4 linked regions of the Arabidopsis thaliana genome follow. The protein of the gene in region 1 interacts with the protein of each later gene in a pairwise test. Each region holds a gene or a part of one and is shown on either strand. Other genes may lie near its edges. The genes, in order: AUX1, AXR4, AGP27 and TIR1.

The links.
Region 2: the proteins of AUX1 (region 1) and AXR4 interact in binary tests that used the Arabidopsis thaliana proteins (3 or more experiments, as listed by UniProt).
Region 3: the proteins of AUX1 (region 1) and AGP27 interact in a protein complementation assay, tested with the Arabidopsis thaliana proteins (2 studies listed by BioGRID).
Region 4: the proteins of AUX1 (region 1) and TIR1 interact in a two-hybrid assay, tested with the Arabidopsis thaliana proteins (one study listed by BioGRID).

Annotation. Positions count from the first base shown.
Region 1 is NC_003071.7:15,971,215-15,977,720, reverse strand, and holds AUX1 (Transmembrane amino acid transporter family protein), read right to left. Parts: upstream 4,846-6,506; 5' UTR 4,457-4,845; intron 4,246-4,456; 5' UTR 4,229-4,245; coding exon 4,052-4,228; intron 3,959-4,051; coding exon 3,773-3,958; intron 3,685-3,772; coding exon 3,572-3,684; intron 3,476-3,571; coding exon 3,292-3,475; intron 3,014-3,291; coding exon 2,916-3,013; intron 2,395-2,915; coding exon 2,187-2,394; intron 2,101-2,186; coding exon 1,843-2,100; intron 1,755-1,842; coding exon of another isoform or gene 1,749-1,754; exon of another isoform or gene 1,163-1,748; coding exon 929-1,162; 3' UTR 541-928; downstream 1-540. UniProt on the Arabidopsis thaliana protein: Carrier protein involved in proton-driven auxin influx.
Region 2 is NC_003070.9:20,509,832-20,514,222, reverse strand, and holds AXR4 (alpha/beta-Hydrolases superfamily protein), read right to left. Parts: upstream 2,705-4,391; 5' UTR 2,659-2,704; coding exon 1,459-2,658; intron 956-1,458; coding exon 734-955; 3' UTR 542-733; downstream 1-541. UniProt on the Arabidopsis thaliana protein: Required for the auxin influx facilitator AUX1 polar trafficking and its asymmetric localization within the plasma membrane. Not involved in the PIN proteins localization.
Region 3 is NC_003074.8:1,927,026-1,930,237, reverse strand, and holds AGP27 (arabinogalactan protein 27), read right to left. Parts: upstream 1,371-3,212; 5' UTR 1,263-1,370; coding exon 885-1,262; 3' UTR 554-884; downstream 1-553. Other genes in the region: MEE32 (dehydroquinate dehydratase, putative / shikimate dehydrogenase), read left to right, coding at 2,537-2,758, 3,015-3,212. UniProt on the Arabidopsis thaliana protein: Proteoglycan that seems to be implicated in diverse developmental roles such as differentiation, cell-cell recognition, embryogenesis and programmed cell death.
Region 4 is NC_003074.8:23,272,546-23,278,511, forward strand, and holds TIR1 (F-box/RNI-like superfamily protein), read right to left. Parts: upstream 4,086-5,966; 5' UTR 3,637-4,085; coding exon 3,170-3,636; intron 2,437-3,169; coding exon 1,944-2,436; intron 1,759-1,943; coding exon 934-1,758; 3' UTR 520-933; downstream 1-519. Other genes in the region: AT3G62970 (zinc finger (C3HC4-type RING finger) family protein), read left to right, coding at 16-153. UniProt on the Arabidopsis thaliana protein: Auxin receptor that mediates Aux/IAA proteins proteasomal degradation and auxin-regulated transcription.

The sequences.
Region 1 (6,506 bases):
ATTTTGACCCCCAACAAAAAAAAAGTCAGATGGAAAGTACAAGAATCGGACTCTGGATTCAAACGAGAATATTAGTTAATAATTTTACATATATAGTTATAATCTTTGGGGGCAAAGTACATGTGAAAGCAGAGCATATGATAAGGGGTAAACGATTGAGTACGAATGGAACGAACACATGCCATATTTAATATGAGGGACAGGAACGGTCCTCTGATCCATTCTTTTGATCAGAGAGAAGATGAAGAGTGTCAAGTAAATAATGGCACGTGACTCGGACGAAGTATCCACGTGCGTCCTCTCCCCACACCCATGTGGCCCATAGGATATATGACCGGCTCCGTCGGTCCAACTTGTCCATGTTCCCCTATTTAATTTTTAAACACACCCTGCCGTTAAATCAAATTTTCCAAATAAATTAAAGTGTTATTTCAAAATTTTAATGTAAACTTAGTAGTATTGTCGCTGTGCTATGATCAAAACTGTATAATTAAAAGATCTAATAGGATCCTAAAGAATTATCTAGTATCGGAAGATATTGTTCATGGTAAAATAGTTTATATAAGTCTAATTAGGATAAATGTATAAGATAAGAATTGTTTTTTGTTACTAAAGACAAGTAAAAGGAGAGAAGACGATACATTTTCTTAGCCTATTGTTTTAACAATACCAAATTAAGAAATCACACACTACATATTATCGACTATTCAATTTTAAAAAAAAAACTAAGGAGTGAAAACAAAAATACAAAACCCCAAAAGAGAAAAAAATAATTAAGAGCTTAGCACGCATTTAAAGGGGTGTGTAAAAAGTACACTATTTTCGTGACTTTTACTCCCTTCACGTATACGAACACAAAACACAAAAGAAGAACAAATAATTTTAAGAACCCTCCACAAACGCATTAGAAGAACCCTGACTCGATCTCTCAAAGACGGTGGTGTAAAGCGGAGACCGGGGCATGTGCGGCGGCTGCAGCTGGTTTACATTGGTAACACTTGGCAAAGAGACCAAAAGTGTCGACTTGACGAACAAAGTTGGTTACACTAGCCCATCCACCGAACCCAAATCCGACTATAAGAACCCAAACCACCACGAAAGCATTCAACACGTACATCGCCGTCCAGCTCGGCATAAAGAACGGTGGCTTCTCCGCCGCATTCTACAAGAAAGATCCAAAACACAAAAATAATCAGAGAACCATTAAAGAAATAGAGAGTGTGTAAGTGTTTTAGAGTTTTGGTCGTATAGTAATGGACAAAATCCAAAGCTTTGTTGACCCATGAGATAGAGAGAGAGAGAGAGAGATATGATTGTGATTTGTCATACTCAGACTCTCACTTTAGATTAATGTTAGGCATAGAGTCCCTATTGTACAGCTCCTTTTCATTTCTGATTATGACTCTTACCTATTCCTCTCCCCTATTTTCCTCTACTTTTATCTTACGTAAATTTAATATACACTGTTTTGAAAGAGAGAAAGAAAAAGAAGTCATGGTCAATTACTAATACTAACCTAACCGGATATTGTATTTTTTCTTCTAAATGTAACCAAATAAAGAAATGGCTGAAACCAACTCAATAATATATTATTTGGAGGGGACGCCAGTAAGGAATGTGGGTGATGATCCTATCTTCCGTAAGATACGGAACACTGAACCCCATCTATCTTCCACAAAAGACGTTTTTGCCCTCCAATTTCACAACCCTACCCCCCAACTATAATATTCCTCCACCGACTCTTCATTTCATTTCTAAAAAATTATTGGTAACTCAATGTATTTTAGGTTAAGTTCGAGTTTTGAAACGCTAAAAGAGAGTGAGCTAGTAAAGATGTTATACCTGACGAGCGGAGGCAGATCGGTAAGTGAGCATGTGAGCGAGAGATGGGATGATATAGACGGTGAAGCTAACAAGAAGAGCACCGACAGCGGAATTGATTGGACCGAAAAAGGGGAAGATAATAGCTAAGAACCAAATAGGTATGACCACAGGCAATCTAGCCAAAGCCCTTAAGCAAATGCTCTTTGTGTCATGCATCCCAATCACTTTCTCCCACACAAAGTACAAAGGTGTACAAGCGAACCCGAACGTTATAAACTGCACGAACAAGAACACGTTGCATTAATCTCTCATGATCAAAATTTACTTAAAAAAGAAAGAACAAAAATGTTGTATGTGTATACCTGATGAATGAGCATGAGGATAACAGCGGCGTCACGCCACGCGTTCTTGGGCATAAGAGAGAAAGCGTTGGAGTGGTCGAGAAGTGCGTCTCCGAAAGCCCAGTAAACGGCGGCAGCTGACGGAATCGTTAGCGTGAACACGTATAACGTCGCCATCAAGTAAATGTACTTAAACTTCTGTGGTTTCCACATAGCATGCATAATCTCACTGCAAATTAGAAATTACTGTTAATATTCATAATTTCATCCAAAACTTTAACTATGTAAAAGATTGGATTCACAACAATCATTGACGCATAAAAAGGGTGTATTTGACATTTCGCAAAAGCGTACTATTCCTACTAGTAGTAGTAGTGCTTTGGTAGCAATAGTGTTTGTTATTCTTTATAGGGATAGGAATAATAATGGTTATTCTATTTTATATTTAAAAAGAGCTTATTTTATTAGTACTACTATTTTAAGGATTGCTAAAAATAATAATGACAATCATGATGACTGTAATAATAGTTACACCTTATTTGCCGGCAAAAGCTGCAATAGAAGCGGCGAAGAAACGATACAGCAGCACCCATAATTTAATAATATGGCACCATTTTAATTTACCATATACTTTTTCTGCCATTTAGCTTTAACTTAAATAGTAATTCAACTATGTCTGACAAAATTTATTGATCTTTTATTAGATACAAAATTAATAATCATTAAGAAATCAAAAGAAGAGTAACTTACACAGTAACCGCGTGACCTCCAAAGGTGTACAAAATATTTGTGGCTCCCGTAAAATAAAGCACTAGCTTTGTTGGACCTGAATGTTTCACACCTTCCGCCTAAAATAAACAACAAAAAAAAAATTTGATTAGGAGAATATTAAACAGCTAATTTTGTCTAAGTTATATTATACATACACTTTTTAATACAAATTTGGGTTAAGATGCAAAGAATAATCCCTGATCTTAAAGAGAAAATACGAATTTTTTTTATTCTTCTTTTTAATTAAGGCATATACTGTCACCTCAATGCAAAGCATATAAATATGAAAACGACAGTGTAGTGATCTTTATAATGTGATGAAATATATTTTTGGTGAAATATATTAAAACATTACCTGGCCGTGGATGATGGAGGCAATGGCTAAGTACCAAGCGGTGTAAGTGGTCATTCCAAGGCCAAGGAATGACCAAATTCGGTAATTGTGAAACGACGGTATAAAGACAGTGGTTGCACAACACGCGCCAAATATGTAAGTCCATGTTCTCTTGTCCAGATGATCGTTTATGTAATAAATGTTACTGCAAGTAAACACCAATCATATTTCAATTATCCTCCATTCTTAATCATTAAAGAGTGATTAAAAAGATAAAGAGAATGATTAAAAGATAACAGACCTGGCACAAGCAATGAGTTGGATAACAGATCCAAACAAGAGGAAAGTGCAATTAAATGCGAGTCCTAGTGCTTTCCAGTATGAACCAAGTAATCCATCAAGTACTTCAAACCACTGTTGAGATTTTTAAAAGTGTTAGATTAGTGAAAGATAATTATGATTTAGTGATTCTGATTAGAGAGAGAGGGTTTAAAGAGGGGACCTGAATGACGTGGTTTTTGAAGCTTTTGCCTTCTTTTTCTTTACGAGCTCTGTATTCGACGTAGAGAACAGAGATGAGATAAGCAGTCCAGCTTCCTAGTAAACCATAGAAGATCTGAAGTACTATTCCTGATAACATTCCTAGTTGACTAAACGAGTACGGTAATGTCAATAACACTTGAGCCACCTGAAACCAACGATAATTACTACAAATCAGATCTTTCTTCACTATGAGAAATCCGAAATTTTGAATCTTTAGTTTATGGTTTTATTGGTTTACTTGGTTAGATGCGCAGCTGAACCAAGCGTCCCAGACAGAGCCACCGTGCCATAGGAAATTGCTTAGGTTAGAACCGGTGGAGCCGTCGTGTTCTTCGTTATCTTTCCCGGTACGGTTTCCGTTTACCTGATCTGTTCCGTTGTCATTTGCTACTATCGCTTCTACTCCTTCCGACATTTTTTTAGCTTCTAGATCTGAGAAATAAAACAGAGCGAAAGAATCGATTGTGTTTAGTAACTAAGTGAAAACAGAGAGGAGAAAACAGAGCACATAAGAGACTGAGAGAGATCTCAATCTTGGAGAATTCAAGAAGATAAAACAGAGAGGGAAAGAGAATTGACAGTTCTTTGTTCACGTTTTTTCTCTTCTTCAGTGTGAAAAAAGAGAGTAGAGAGAGTGACTTACGTTTTCTTCTATTAGAGAAGAGAAAGAATCAGAAGCAAGAAAGACCCAAGAGTGGTTTTTGTCCGTTTGAGCTGTCACTTGTTTCTTCTCTTTTCACTTTTGTTTAAGAAAATCTCAACTCTGTACTGTTTCTTCTGTGTCTTAAAAGAAACAGAGCATAAGAAGAGAAGAACCCAGAAATGTGCAGAGGAGGAAAGAGAGAGAGAAGGGAAGGAGAAGACTTTGATCAGAGCAAAAGAAGGAATGAAGCTAAAAATACTATAAGATGCTTCGGGCTTCACCCCCTACTCCTCCTTTTTATATACCAATCTCTCTTTTTCATTTTTTCTTACTTCTCTTTGGTTTTTTTATGTAATTTTAAAAATATTAAACAGGTGCTGTAAAATCACACCATTAACTTTTGTTTAGGTAACGGTAGCATCTTACTTTTTTTTACGTTTTCGCATTGAATATTAATGTGACTATTTGACATCCAGAATTTCCGGCTTCTTCTACTATCCAATAATAAATTAAAACATAACGCCACATGGGTTCAAAATACATAAAATCGTATTTTACTATATTTCATCTACTAAAAAGCATTAGTTGTGTGACGAAAACGTATCATTTAATTCGAAATATTTAAGATATGATGACAAACAAATAATGCAACGTATTAATGTTTGACGATTTATTGACTTGTTATAGGATATAAATTAAGAGCATACTCAATGGTGGTTTCTAACCATAGTTTCTAATCTACTAAAATAATAATAAAATAAGAAATAATATTATTTAATTTGAAAAGTTTCTAAAAATAGTTAGAAGAGTCTTCAAAATCTCTTGAATTAGAAACTCTCTCACATTTCCTTATAAACTATCTTAATTAAATAATATTATTTATTATTTTATTATTATTATTATAGGTTAGAAACTTTGCTTAGAATCCACTACTGGATTTGCTCCAACATATCTAGATTTAGATATCTTCACTTTTGTTTTTTTTCAACAGCTATCTAAATTTAATACCGTACCTAAAACTAGGATGGACAGATCAATAATCTGCATGTTTTTAGAGTTTAAGGAAAACGTAATCATCCTTTGGTTTGGTTATATGATCAACCACTAAATACAAGTTTTTCACATCATTCTTATTCTAGATTACTAGCTGGAATAATCTATTCTATGGTCTAAAGTTCAAATTTTTCAATTTTTTATCCTACAAAAATTAAAGAGCAGACAAATTTAAGACACCTGATCGTCGACCGAAGGCTCATGTTTTCAGTGATCATGAGTTTGCAAAATACTCATTAGTCATTAGCATTTGCCCATCAAAGAAATAATTGGGTACTACTATACGGCATATACCAAATACTACATGATACTAAGAAATGATTGGATACTACGCCATACTCTCTCTTATACGCATATTAACACATATAGTTGGAGTATTATCATGATGAAACTAGAATTTTCCATGTTAATTATCTGACGGCTAACATAAATCATTTAGAAATAGTTGAACAGTTTAATAATTTTATGTTTGAATGATCTATAACCTATTTTCTAATTATTTCAAGTTAAAATATCTCTTTCGTTTAAATTAGTAAGATAAAAAAATATTGGCAGTAAATATAAATCATTGAATTCATATGAAATCTCAATCCTTAGATGAAATAGTAATGTAAAATAGTATTTTCTACAATGCCATTCCTGGATACATGTTAATTATTCATACTTTCTCCTAAGGTCAAAGGTAGGTAGGCATTAATATATATTGGTCTAATATGAGTCTTACTATTTTTGATACTATAAGTTATAAAATTTTGTTAATAAATTGGATATATATAGTATCATGTTCATTTTTCACTTTGCTGTTTTAAAAATATTATATTGATGTGCACTGTACGAATTCTCACGTAGTGTGAATATTAGTGTGACAACCTTTGTTTCCAAGTTTTGTAAGTAACTTGCTTGCTCAGCTGCTAAACCTCTCAGTGTTCTCACTAGTCATTTTCTCTAATTATATGGCTCGACAATACTTAAATGTTGGATACGTTATCGTAAACTT
Region 2 (4,391 bases), on another chromosome or scaffold:
ACTCTATATAATATATAATGATGTTATATTATTTGATATATTAAACTTTTTATAAGTTTAAATATTAATAATGTTTTATAAAGTTTAAATATATAAATAATAATATTTTTAAAAAATAATTTTTTTTGCCTTTTAGGTAAATGACATAATAATAACTCTAAAAGTAAGGATTTAGAAGATTTAAATCGTTAATTAAATATTTTCATTCCTAAATAATTAATACGGTAGCATGACATTGTAAATAAGTTTAAATACAGAATTTGTTTATTTAAACAAAAAACGTTTAGTAAGAATAATATTTATTTAAACAAAAAATATTGTTTTAAAATATTATTAACAAATACGTTTATGCTAATTTTAAGGGATTAATATGAAGTTTGTTTGGATTAAATTTGATTGATAATGTGATTAACAATTTATATTAAGAATTTAAAGGAAAATTAATTATTTTGGAAAAAGATTTAATATTAATGGCATTGGGTTGTAAATAAGTCCAACTCTATGATTTATTTGTTAAAATGGCTGCAAAAATGTATATGTAGATATTTAAAAATATGATGACTTTAAGATATTTTTCTATTGAAATTTGATGACTTACAAACAAAAAGTACAAAACACAGATTCATATTTGGAAGTAGTATCTCAGACTTTAAACTCCCAAAAGAAAAATCTCAAAATAGTCATAAGATTAAGAGTACATCGTAAAATAATAACAAGAACTTCAAAAGGCATATCAAGTAGTAGTCCATTCCTCACCAAGACCATAAGCATCCGAGTAACCAGCATGGGCATGCCCGTGGCCATGATGATGGTCATGGTCATCACCAGCCTTTGCTTCTTCTAACACTTTCTGTACTTCCTCAGGGATAGGTTCTTCAGCAACCCGTCTGATGGATTTAGGGAGGAGAGAGACAAATTCTGATATGTAATCTGCAAGCTCGCCGGATTTGCTTTCCTGCATTATCAAAACGACCACAAGTTTTAAGGAATTAAACCCGAAAAACCACGATAAGTAAAACAACGAAAACCAATCTTGAACATACTCAAATATATACCCTTCAATGATACAAGTTCCAGTAAGAACTCTACACCTACTTGAAAACGTCACAGTTTCAGATTAATGTGCCTTTGCTATTTTACAACTAGAAGACCACACAAGTTTGTGTTCTTCAAACAAGTCAAGCAGCCCAAAAATAAAGGCTATAGAGCTAAAGATGCTCTGCTCCTACCGAGTAAAATACAAACTAATGGGAGAACAAAGTATGTTCAAGAGAACAATCCGATACTAACAATCTCAAAAATAGTTGATAAAGATGCTCTAAATTTTGAAATTGGATCTGGTTATAACTTTACTCATTACTAGAGATACATACTTGATTTTAGTATAAACACAAAACCTTCTGCTTTTGACCAATTCAATAAAACTAAAATGACTTAAAAGTCCGAAGAATATCTAACCTGAGGCCACCGGCTGCCTGAATGTGTGACAAACTTTGCTTTCGGAAGAGCCTTAGCTACACGTTGCCCCTCGTCACTCCATTCTTTAGACGCTTCACTAGACCAAATCACTTGCATCGGAATACCATTAATCCCATCTGAATTACCCCATTGTGCAATGTCAAAGCTATGGTTTAACTTGTTTAACGAAGCAACAACAGCTTCTCTCCCATTTCTTCCCTTCAAAAGTATCCTATGAGCATCAATATCCGATAAAGTCATCTCCTTTGAGCACCGGAAGCTCACTAGCTTCTCAAAACCAAACGAAAACGCTAACAAAATCTCTCGAATCCCCGGTACATTCAAAACCCACAACGGCAAAGCTGGACTAATACTAGAGTCAATAAGAGTTACACTTCGAACACTTTGCCAATTCTCAGAAACCCAATTCGAAGCTAACCCTAAAGCTGAATCATGAAGAACCAAATGCACAGGAGCTAAACCCAAAGTATCAATCACTTGACCTAAAACTCTAGCAGTTTCTTCACTCCCTAACTCGATAGCTTTGAAGCTTCTCCTTTTCGAATTCTGAAGCTTTATGATCTCCTCATAAGGCAAATCTCCAGTTTCAATCATCTGATCAAAAGCCCAAAACACACCTTTCTCTTGAATCAAACCATAAACTTCCTTAACTCTAGCCACAAACCCTATCTCTCTATCTCCACCAATCACTACCATTGACTTATCAGAGAACCCATTTCCAGGTAAATCAATAGCAACACTATGGATCCCTTTTGATCCAAGAGATTGAATCATTTCCTTAAAAGCAAACGAACTTAGACCTAACCCATGAACGATTACAACAGTCTCTGTATGAATCGAACCTGATTCAGCTACAAAGACTTCAATTGGTGACTCGTTTGAGTTTACTTGGACTTTGATTGTTCGTCCATTTGAGTAATGTTGACGAAGAGCTGGTGGGAGTGAGAGAAACCAAGATCTTGGATCGTTTTGAGAAGAGAACAGAGAGAGAGATATGAAGATGATTGTGGCTAGTGAGACGACTACTGTAAAGTAGAACCAAAATGGGAAAGGGTTTTGAGATTGGGGTTTAGGGTTCTTCATAGTTGATTCAGATTTCGTAAAGTCAGAGTCTTTAGGTTTGTTCTTCGGTGGATTTAGGGTTTTTGGATCCTCTTCTTCTTCTGTGATAATCGCCATTAAAGAAAGCTTGGAACTTGAGAGAATGTGAGAGAAGTGTGGTGATGTCTTTTAGGACAAAAGGCATTATAATAATAGTAATAATAAAAGAGCAGACTTTTCTGCAAAAGTGGACAAGAGAAACATCATTCAAGGAGCGTGTTTAAAGATGACACAAACAGAGAAACAAATTTTGATTTTGTTCCTAGTCTTTTGCCAATTGTGGGGTATAGTTTTTCACTAATGAATTCCAAAACCTATGGAAACCATAACTCTGTTTTCACTACACATTACAAGGTATATGAATGAACAAACAAATGGGTACAACAAAAAGACTAGGATATTAAAGGTTTGACACCAATAGAAGATAGTGGATGAAAGGGTCAACGATGTAAAACCAAGCTCTGCTCCAAAATCCAAATGGTTTTGTGACAAATTCTATTTCAGTACGGCCCTTGCCAAATAGTCCACACTCCACAGGATCTAACACAAGCAAGGATTTGAACTATGTACTGATGATATTTTATGTCGCAGTGGACAGCCCCGGCCCAACAATTATAACTATAAGAGCCTTGGGGCAACAAATATTTTTAAGAGTTTTTTCTTATCAAATATTCTAATGTTTTGGGTTCTGATTCATACTAATTTGTTTTGGGCCTTATTTTAATATTTTTCAAAAATAAATGGGTTTTTAATCTATGAGTTTTTAAACATTTGGATGAGCTTTAGGCATGTGCACCTCTGCCTTATCCACTTGGGCCGGATGGTAGTGGAGTTTTGTTCAGGATCATAAGTAGTGAAGACATCATAAAGACTGTAACCAATCTCATAATTATGAAAATATGATTCATCCACTTTCCTCCCACCATACTGCTGAGACAAGATGCTATGAATCCATTGTTAGCAAGATCCAAAAGGTGGATGTTCCTTAGATCACACAACTGGTGAGGAATATGACATGTTAAATTATTATCCCATAAAACAAGAACACTTATGTTTTGAATGTGGATGAACTTGACAACTTGTTAATTTTCATAACAGGTATGGTAACATTGGCTACAAATGTCTTTGGAACAGCCCCTAATAAATTATTGCCTTGTAGAAATAATGCTACGAAATATAGAGATTTGATATCCAAATATGTTGCTTCCCGAGAGTTCCATTAGCAAATGACTGGACTTGTTTGTGACTCTCCAATTGCAACCGTCCATAGGTCTCATGTCCTCCCCTAGTCTATTGGCCCATCCTTTGTCTAGCGGTTAGTTCGCTACTTCCAGGGGTTTTAAAGACTTGGTTACCAATCCTATAAATCATTATGTGATATTTTCCCGTATTTTATCTTCATTTATACAGTACACACTACGAGAAATCAATTCTCGGTTACCCATCCTCAAATTAATCGAGTTCAAGAACATTCAATTCTAGAGTACTCTCGAGATGTTTAATTGAAAATATAAGGACATTGTGGTGATATACATAACCATATAAATTCTTTTTAAGATTTGCTCATGCACCACTATACTTCCATATTATGGGATGTTATTTTGTTGAACAACGAAAGAGGTATTTCACCTTCCACCATGTTGTTTGAATCAGTAGTACATATAAGGAAAAAGTTCACAAATTCAAATTGGATTAACTCCTATGAGATTGTTGTTCAAATTTCAAGCATATACAAAGAACTAAAGCTTCGAATACCTTGTTCATTCTCTCCCGGAACCATTGTGAAATATATCCAAATATTCAGTTTCTTT
Region 3 (3,212 bases), on another chromosome or scaffold:
ACCCTATAATGTGAAAACAAGAAACGTCCTTTACATATTTCTTCTCACCTAGATATTATTAATTTTAATATTGAGACTTTGAAACCCCAGAAATAAGATAAAGTGTGGGACAAGAAAAGAAGGCACCTTTTTTTGTTGTTGCTTTTAGCCGTGAGGCCAGCATATGCAGTAACTCACATGCATGCGCCTCTAACCTTGTGGCATTTTAGGAATTATGCAATAATGCACTATACTTAAATACGTTAATTCACAAAGTAATACATTCATTCAGTTCATAAACACGTCTCAAGATTAAGACAAAAATAATCATAAAAAACTGGTGTTTTACATAAACTTATGTCGAAATTAATTAGTAGTCTACATATAATTACTCAAGTGTTATTTGCATGTAAACAGTACAAATTTTTGGAACGTTTGATTTTGATACTACTATAAACTGCAGTATACTGTAAAGCATGCATATGACGTCACTTTAATTTGAAACGTAATTTCAACTTTTTCAAAAGGTTCTTTAGCTTAGCGATAAAAAAAAAAAAAAAAGTTAGTGTATAGTAAACGAACAAATGAAATGAAAAGAAGAGAAAAGTATAAGTCCTCAAAGTGTATTGAATCACTTAACGGTAAATTAGTTTTTATTTTTATTTTTATCCAGAGTTCTTAAGTTAATTATGCATCAATTATGTGGTTCTGACGTAATATATTACTTGCGTTTTTCATCTAAACCAATCTAAAACTGTAACAAAATGTTAAGTGGAGAACAATAAAAAATACAAATAGTAAAAAAAAATTGAAAATCAAACTAAATCTAATTTTATTCGTTATTTTTAGGGGACAAATAAACTCATGAAAATAATGACGTACGTGGTCTAAAATATATGAATGACCTATATAGCTGAAACGGCAAGAAGCCGGAGCGAGAAACAATAGACGGCGGCGAAGACAAAGTAGATGAAAACTCCGGGAGCTTGAGAAGACAGAGAAGCAAGAGATGAAGCCGGAGGAGAAGCCGATGGAGCGAAGGCGGGATCAGGATCTGCGGAAACGTCGTCGTTTTCTGGTTCAGGAAGTGTTGAAGAAGAAGGGATGGTTTGAGTGGAGGAGACGGCGGGTGAAGGGAGGAGAGGAGCGATCTCCGGTGAGATCTTTTCTTCAGAGGGAGAGATTGTTTGCGAAGATGGGATTGTATTTGTCGTCGGCGAAGAGAGAGAAAGTGAGGAGAGAAAGATGAAGGTGATGAGTGTTAGCAATATAGATGAAGCCATCTTTTTTGGTTACTGTAATGATGAACAAATCAAAGCTGAGTTGTTTTTTTCCTTAACTGATGAGAGCGCATTTTGTGTTGTAATAATGATACTGTCTCTATAAAAGAAAACTTTTAGCTCTAATAGTAAAATATTATAAATTGATTTTAAATGGAATTTGTCTCACCTTTTTCCAAAAAGATTATTATTTATCAATTTAAAGGATGTGTTCGGTGGAAAAGAAAATATATTTGCTGAATTCTTGAAGATGGGCGTAGATCGAGTTTTCACTTTTTAGTAGAAGCTCTTATATATTGCACATATTTTCGAATAAACATGTGCTTTACTTTTTGCTGAAAAATATTATGTTAATGCAAATTATACATATTGCTAAGTACGAGTAAAGGCATCTCCATCCATGAGAAACCTACAAAGTTTCTAAAACAAAAAAAATATTAATATTATATTATAATTTAATTATTTGATTAAAAAAGTAATTTTGTTAAAAAATTGAATCAATAGTGAGATGAGAATTGTCATGATGGGTTGTAGAGAATATCTCAAAATTTTTCAAGTGAGAAACTTTCTACATTTTCTCTCCTTCATTTTCATTATTTTTATTTTTTTAATTGTGAAAAACTCTTATGAAATACCTTCAATGGAGATGGTCTAATTACGTTTGTTGTTGCCTCGTTGGATGTTCAAATAAAAAGCACATTTTATATTGGGTTGTTCCTAAACAAATATTTTGTTGTCTTTTGTACTAAAGTTTATTGGCGAGTTAAGAAAAGCTTTGTGGTGTGTGGGAATTATTATTATTATTTATTATTTATTGTTCTTTAGTTTGCTATGCAATTCGAGCCCACTAAAGAGGCTTCCTATGGGCCCAAAAAACGCAGCCCACTATTGTAGTGCAAAACGTGCTGAGTTTTCTACATTGCATGCCCAACAATGGCCACCAGTGTAGTTAAAGACTCAAGAACTTGCTGACCTCTATTTGTTTGACTTTCTTTTTTGTGTGAACAAAATCACATATTGTTGATGTCATTTGTTCTGCTATAATTCTTAACTTCAGATTACAGATAACGAATTTTCTCTTGATGATTTAAACAAACATATATAATTGTCAATATCAGAAAATGAAAAGGAGATATAAATAATTTTTTTTTGCGCCTAATCGAAACTTCACCTACCATTTTTTAGCGTATAAAAACGTTAAAAATACCAAAATTTAGAAATCCAATAAAAGTTGTGAAAAAAAGCCGCAAAGGGTCGTTGTTGTTTGTCGCCTCTCAATGGCAGCTTCTTCAACTAATGCTCGTCTCACCAACCCTCCTCGTCTACTCTCCAAACCCCGACTTTCACCTACCTCCGTCGCCAATCTCCGTTTTCCAGCCGCCGATTTCTCCACTCGCTTCTTTGCCGATTCTTCGTCCCCGCGGCTAAGGAGTGTACCGTTTCCGGTGGTATTTTCCGATCAAAGGCGCCGGCGAAGCATGGAACCTAGCAATGTCTATGTTAGTGATTCTTCCTTTAGTTCAGTTTTCTTTTGTTGTTTTCTGTTCCGTTTTTATTGGAGAAGGATAGGTAATGATGAATTTGCAGATTTATCGCTTCAAATAAATTTGGTATTAGTTTTGGATGAAGACTTTGATGTTTCGTGTACAACATTGGTTTAGCTATTTAGAATCGATCTTCAGAATTTTTGTTTAGTTCTGAGAAGTAGTTGGATTTTTAATTGATTGTGGAATTTATCCTGTTTTGTGATCTCAGGTGGCTTCAAATTCCACGGAAATGGAGATCGGAAGTCATGATATCGTGAAGAATCCGAGCTTGATCTGTGCTCCAGTGATGGCGGATTCAATAGACAAGATGGTGATTGAAACGAGTAAAGCCCATGAATTGGGTGCAGACTTGGTTGAAATTCGATTAGATTGGCTAAAGGACTTCAATCCTCTTGAGGATCTAAAA
Region 4 (5,966 bases), on another chromosome or scaffold:
AGAAAATGTCTGCAGGTTTCAATTCTCTGCAATGACTGCAACAAGGGGAGTAAAGCTATGTTCCACATTTTGGGACACAAGTGCAGTGATTGCGGTTCATACAACACTCGGAGAATCTCAACGCCACAAGATCCAGTGAGTGAAACAGAGTGATCATTTTCTGAAGCCAACTCTTCTTCATTGAATTTTCCCGTCATTGGTCCAACCATAGAGCGATAGGGCTGTGTTCTGCTTATTTATTTTTGTTCTTGGCCTAAAAACACTTGAAACGGAAAATATCGTACTGTTATATAAATGGTATTACTGTGTTTAGTCATCATGTAAACTGAAAATTTGAAAAAGCTTGTTTTTCATATGAAAAACAACAGTTCAATTACATTGTGTCCTATCACACGTTTGACGATGATGCTATTCCAAGACCTTTACACAGAGCAAGATTCTCTTGTTTCTAATTATGGTGATAAAGAGAGTGTAGGGACCTGAGACGAAACTAGGTGCTGTTCCAAAACCGAAAAGGCTGCAAACAGTTCATTAAGCGGACAAAGGAAATGGCAAAGACAAAGAGAGAGAGAGATAGAAAACATTTAAAAGGATAAAAGAGTCCAAACAAAACAAGTAGAACAGTTACATTTTTGACATTGTCTTTTAAAAAAATCTCTTATCCTCTTAAGAAAAATACCCCACCAGGATCTCTCAGTGTAAGTAGCCAAATAAACATACAACAATCAATAATTCTTACATAAATAAAACAAAGCTCTCTTAGATCTCTCTTTCTCTCTCTCCACTTATTCATTGCTCATGAGCTTGATGGTTATATGAAGCAGCCGAGATTCAAATTATTGGCGACCGAGCTCTCTCATGTTCCTAAACCGGAACACGATTATATGGGATGATGAACAAGGATTAATGAAAAATGTACCTCGTTTCTTTGTCTTATAATCCGTTAGTAGTAATGATTTGCCTGGAAAACCTCATTGTTGAGTCTTGGTCCATGTTCCAGACGAAGCCAGGCATGTCAAATCGAGGACCAGCCACTGTTCGGTATATGAAGACTCTCTCAACAGGGCAGCTCTCTGGTCTCGAGTCCGGTGCACCCCGTTCATCGATGACTTCCACATTCAGCTTTGGCATCTTCTGTCCTAGTAACTTGCAGGCTCCAAAACTCACGGAACAAGAAGACATCCAAAGGGATCGCATTGTCTCCAGCTTTGAAGCATTGGCCAAAAGCGCCTTGTCTCCAAACGGGCAGTCCCTTATCTCTAGTTTCCTCAAGCTATCGCACCCGGACAAAACATGATGCATGCCTAAGTCACTGTCTCCTGCAAATGCCACTGAGAGCATTTCCATCTTCTTGGCATATGTCCCAATGTATTCAAAAACCTTGTCGGTCAAGAGGCCAGATAGAGAGAGGCGACGGAGATCCTTGCAGTGCTCTACTATGGCTCCAAATCCAATATCCAGTGGCTCTAGAGTCAGATAGTCTGGGGCTTTTGGCTCAATGATGCACAAACGGAAGCGAGTCATGTTGGGACGGTTCCTAGCAATGGTTATCAATGCAGCATTGGTCATTTGACGGCAGAAGTAGAGAACCGACTCGAGTTTTGGACAGCCCATGGAGACGGAGACAAGCCCCTGTTCCGTCAATGCCACATTTGGTTCCATGACAAAAGGCTCGGACGGAAACACTCTCAGCTCGCGTAGGTCCTTGCAGGTTGAAGCAAGCACCTCAAGACCAGCATCCTCGATGTAGTCAAGCACCTGTAGTCAATAATAAGTTAGAGCACAGTTACAAAAAGAAAAAGGCTTTAATGCTTATAATTCAGATATATTGCTCTATATCATTCAAATTTTTTAAGAAAACTATGAACATAAGCTTTCTCATACCATACAGTAAAATGACCTATTCCAAATTCATGTGTTAATGTATGTTAAAATGGACTCACCCAGAGGCGCTGCAGTTTAGGGCATTGACAAAGAAGCTTGACAAGATCATAGCTCTGGACTGTTGCATAACTCAGATTCAAAGTTGTAAGCCGACTGCAAACCGAATAAACTGCTGGAAGATAGGCAGGAACAGCATCCCAAAATCCAGATAAGCACCTCAATTCCTTGCACCCAGAGAGCGCTACAGATAAACCAGAGTAAACATCTGGTCGCACTTCTGCAGTGTACCCACCAGTGCCCAATTCCTCCAATTGAGGTGCTCTTTGAAGTAAAGTAGCCAATTTTTCAAGTGGAACAGCTCGGTTAAGCTTGAGAGACTTGAGATTGGGACACCTAGTCACCAGCCTTTCCAGAGCAGAGAAACTGACCTCAGATGCTAAGCAAGATATATTGAGTGATACCAAAGAAGTGTATGTATCTGGGAAATGGCTAAGCCAGTGGCCACTAACGTCGTCAACATCACTCTCTCGTAAGTCAAGCTCTTTCAGATTCCTGCATAAGAAATCACATAATTAGCATCGAGTGACCCACATTATACAACTTCGAGAACATAAACATTGCCTACAATACATGAGCATAATTGTCATTAATTTGTCCAAAGTTGTATTTGATACAATGTAGAAAGATCACTTTGGGAAACTATCTAAGCATAGAACAATAACAAATTACTAAATTTATCACGTGGAAGCAATGTGAGAGATGCTAAAACAGAGCTAAAGCGAGTAAAGAAGGGGAATCCGAAAACAGATCTAAGTTTCCCAACAAGGTAAAAAAAGAAAATTGAAAGTCCCCTACAAAAAGAAAAGTAACACACACAAAGCCAAATTGATTAGATTTCCCACCTCAGGAGATTCACTGAGAGCGAATAATCCAGGAATAAATAGATACACCACCGTTAAATAAGACCCACCAGAAAGAAAAAGAGAGTGGCTATAATAAGAATCTTCAGAAACGTGATTAAAACATATATCTTTTAGATACGCAAAATCTTGACCAAACCAAAAAAAAGCTCACAAAGACCAGAGTAACATCAGCAGGAACAACGCAGCAAAACCTATATGCCCAGATCAAATAACAAGTACATGAATTTGCTATAATTGAGACTTTATGTAGTATAATGAATATACAAATCACACACCAATAAGTTTAATACAAACAAAAGCTTCTTCCTAGAGACACAAGGGAGTCTTCTTGATGAAACAAAAAACATTCAGAAAAAGAATACCTGCAAGTGGCAGCGATAGCAGCGAGACCATCGGTGGAGAAGCCTTCGCAGGAAGAAAGCACAAGAACCTTAAAATTCTTAAAAGACTTGGCTATGAGCTCCAAGCAATCGTCGGTGACCACCATCCTCTTCAGCCTTATCTCTTCAAGCCACGTGTAAGACGAAGACATGGCCTCAATCCATGGATACACGTAACCTCCCCATCCGTCAGGTACCAAATTAAAGTCAGCAAAGTGAGGTTTTCCTTTAAGCTCCACGGATCTCACTTTCGGGAACCTCCTAATCACCGTCGCTGGACTCACGGCGTAGCAGTTCCCGATGAAGACTTTCCTCCTGCACCACCGCTCGATCTCGTACCATGACTTGCACACCAGAGAGACTGAGTTCCTATCCTTATCCAGCTGAATAAACGAGAACACATGCTCTAGTACCTCTTCTGGAAACGACAAGGCTATTCGCTTCTGCATTGCGGCCAAATAACCTCGAGATCTCGATGATCGAACCAGAGGAAGAAGTTGGACAGCGTTCGAAGAAGAGTTGAACAAGTATATATATATAACTCCCAAGGTTAGATCTGAGGCGCCATTAACGGAGATAATCTAGTTTCAAAGGAGAAGCTGAAACAAAGATGAAGAAGATAGATAGAGAGAGAGAGAGAGTGGGAAGAGAAGAGAAAAGGATAGGGGGAAGGAGAAGGAGGTCAAGTTAAAAAAGCCAACCATGGTTGGGTTAAAAGTTAACCGTGGTCAAACATATCCATGTGAGCCTTTTCGGTGATTGTGATTGTCGATTCTGATGATGACACGTGTCTTATAAGCTTCAAATACCAGCCGTCCGATTGAATGAAAGCGGGAGATTATCTTATCGACTGTGCAGAGAAGGGCAGCCGCAGAAAACGGGACGAGATATTGGAGAGGGGGGGTCGGCTTATCGCGGCTTCTATCAAAATAGCGCGAGAAGGAGATCAATGATAGGGTGTGGTAAGGTGTAGGAGAAGAGGGAATCTAATGATACGCGATGCACGGCTGGATATGAGGGGAAGCCCCGTAAATTGCGGGGACCACAACAGAATGTTAAAAAAAATACTAGACTACTAATGATCTGACGGTAACAAAACAATAAAAAAAGAAGCTATTACTGTTATTTATGATGACATCACAACCGTCCAATCATGTTTTGATGTGGAATCTGAGCATCTATCTCCTCCTATTATTAGTTTTGCATGTTCATTTATTTACCCACCACTTGGATTCATAAATAAACCATCAAGACTAATCACAGTTTCATTTTCTATTTTCTAGTAATATATAGTATTGATAAATTTGATTAACTAAAGTGTATCCTTTCTCATAGCATTAAAGTGAAGTAAATAGAGTTGAATGATGAATTAACATAACAAGAATCAGTGTTTTCGTGTGAGATTGGATTAAAACATTATTTGTATGTTTTTGAAGATTGCTGAATAATTTAAATTAAAATTGAAAGGATTGCACAAAAAAGAGTAAATGTGAGGGAAGTATCCAATAATTTAAAGTGAACAACTTTTATGAGTAGAGAAAGAAAAAAAGAGAGAGAAAGAATGGATACTGAAAAATTTGAATAAAGTAGAGAAGAAAGAAAGAAAGAAAGTGCAGCGTCGCATTTTAATCACGACCGTCAGATCTGGGACCCCTTTTTAACAGTGTACGGACATACATACATACACAATCGTGACTTTTAAAATTAATAATTACTTCTTAATTAATTTACCTCGTCTGGGTGTAATAAACGTATAAAAACTACAATTATTTCGGGCTCTGTCGCAAGTACAACGGCTTAGAGGAAAATAAATGGGTATTGAATTGACGAGAATGCCCTTCTTCTCGAAACAGTGTATGATGGGCTTTGCAGAGTCTGAGCATGGAGTTGATAGGTCTGTCCTGCCCTAACTAAAAAAACTTGTCACATTATCAAACTGTTCTATATCATCTTCGTATTACATACCATCCTGACCGTTTATCCACTTAAACTACTATTTAAAATATCGCACCTTTCTAGTTTTCTTTTTGAATGTACTGTTGATTAGTTCTTAAACCAAAAATAAAATCTAAAAATTATAATGACATACATACAAATACGAAGATTTTAAAAAAAAAAAATGTAGCAAGCAAGTGCTCAGAAATTGAGGTAGTAACGAAGAAAGAGATAATTAGGAAAAAACAAAGAGAGGGCTGAGTATAGTCAGATGGGAGAAGTGTGGAGCTGAGTTGTCTTGCACGTAATACGCTTAAGTTTTTTTAAAATTATAAGTTTTAATGTCGTCAGAAAAAGGGATTAACTTACACTGATATAATAAGAGGTCATTGATTATGAATTTTTTAAGGAAATGATTAGAATAATAATCCCACGCATGGCTCCCCCGCGAATCTCTCTTATTTCTTTCTCCTAGTCTCGGGTTTCGTACTCAAAACTAGCTTGCTCTTTGCTGTCTATTATCCCTTAATTATCTCCCTAATTATTTTTTTAATTATCTCTTCAGCGATATTAGATCCAACTCTGAATGAATTATAAATTGTGTACCTAAAAGCCGAGAATATTACAGACTGCATTATACTACTACTGTTTATGTGAGATAGAAATATGTGTACGCATGTGTGGACGGACATATATAAAAGAATAACATAGTACTATAGTATTTACATAATACTACTGTTTATATATAAGATAGATGATGAGTGATATATATAATGCGATTGATGAAGAGGTGGTGTACAAGTACAAGTAAAGTGGCACGTGATTTATAAAGCTAATTTGGATT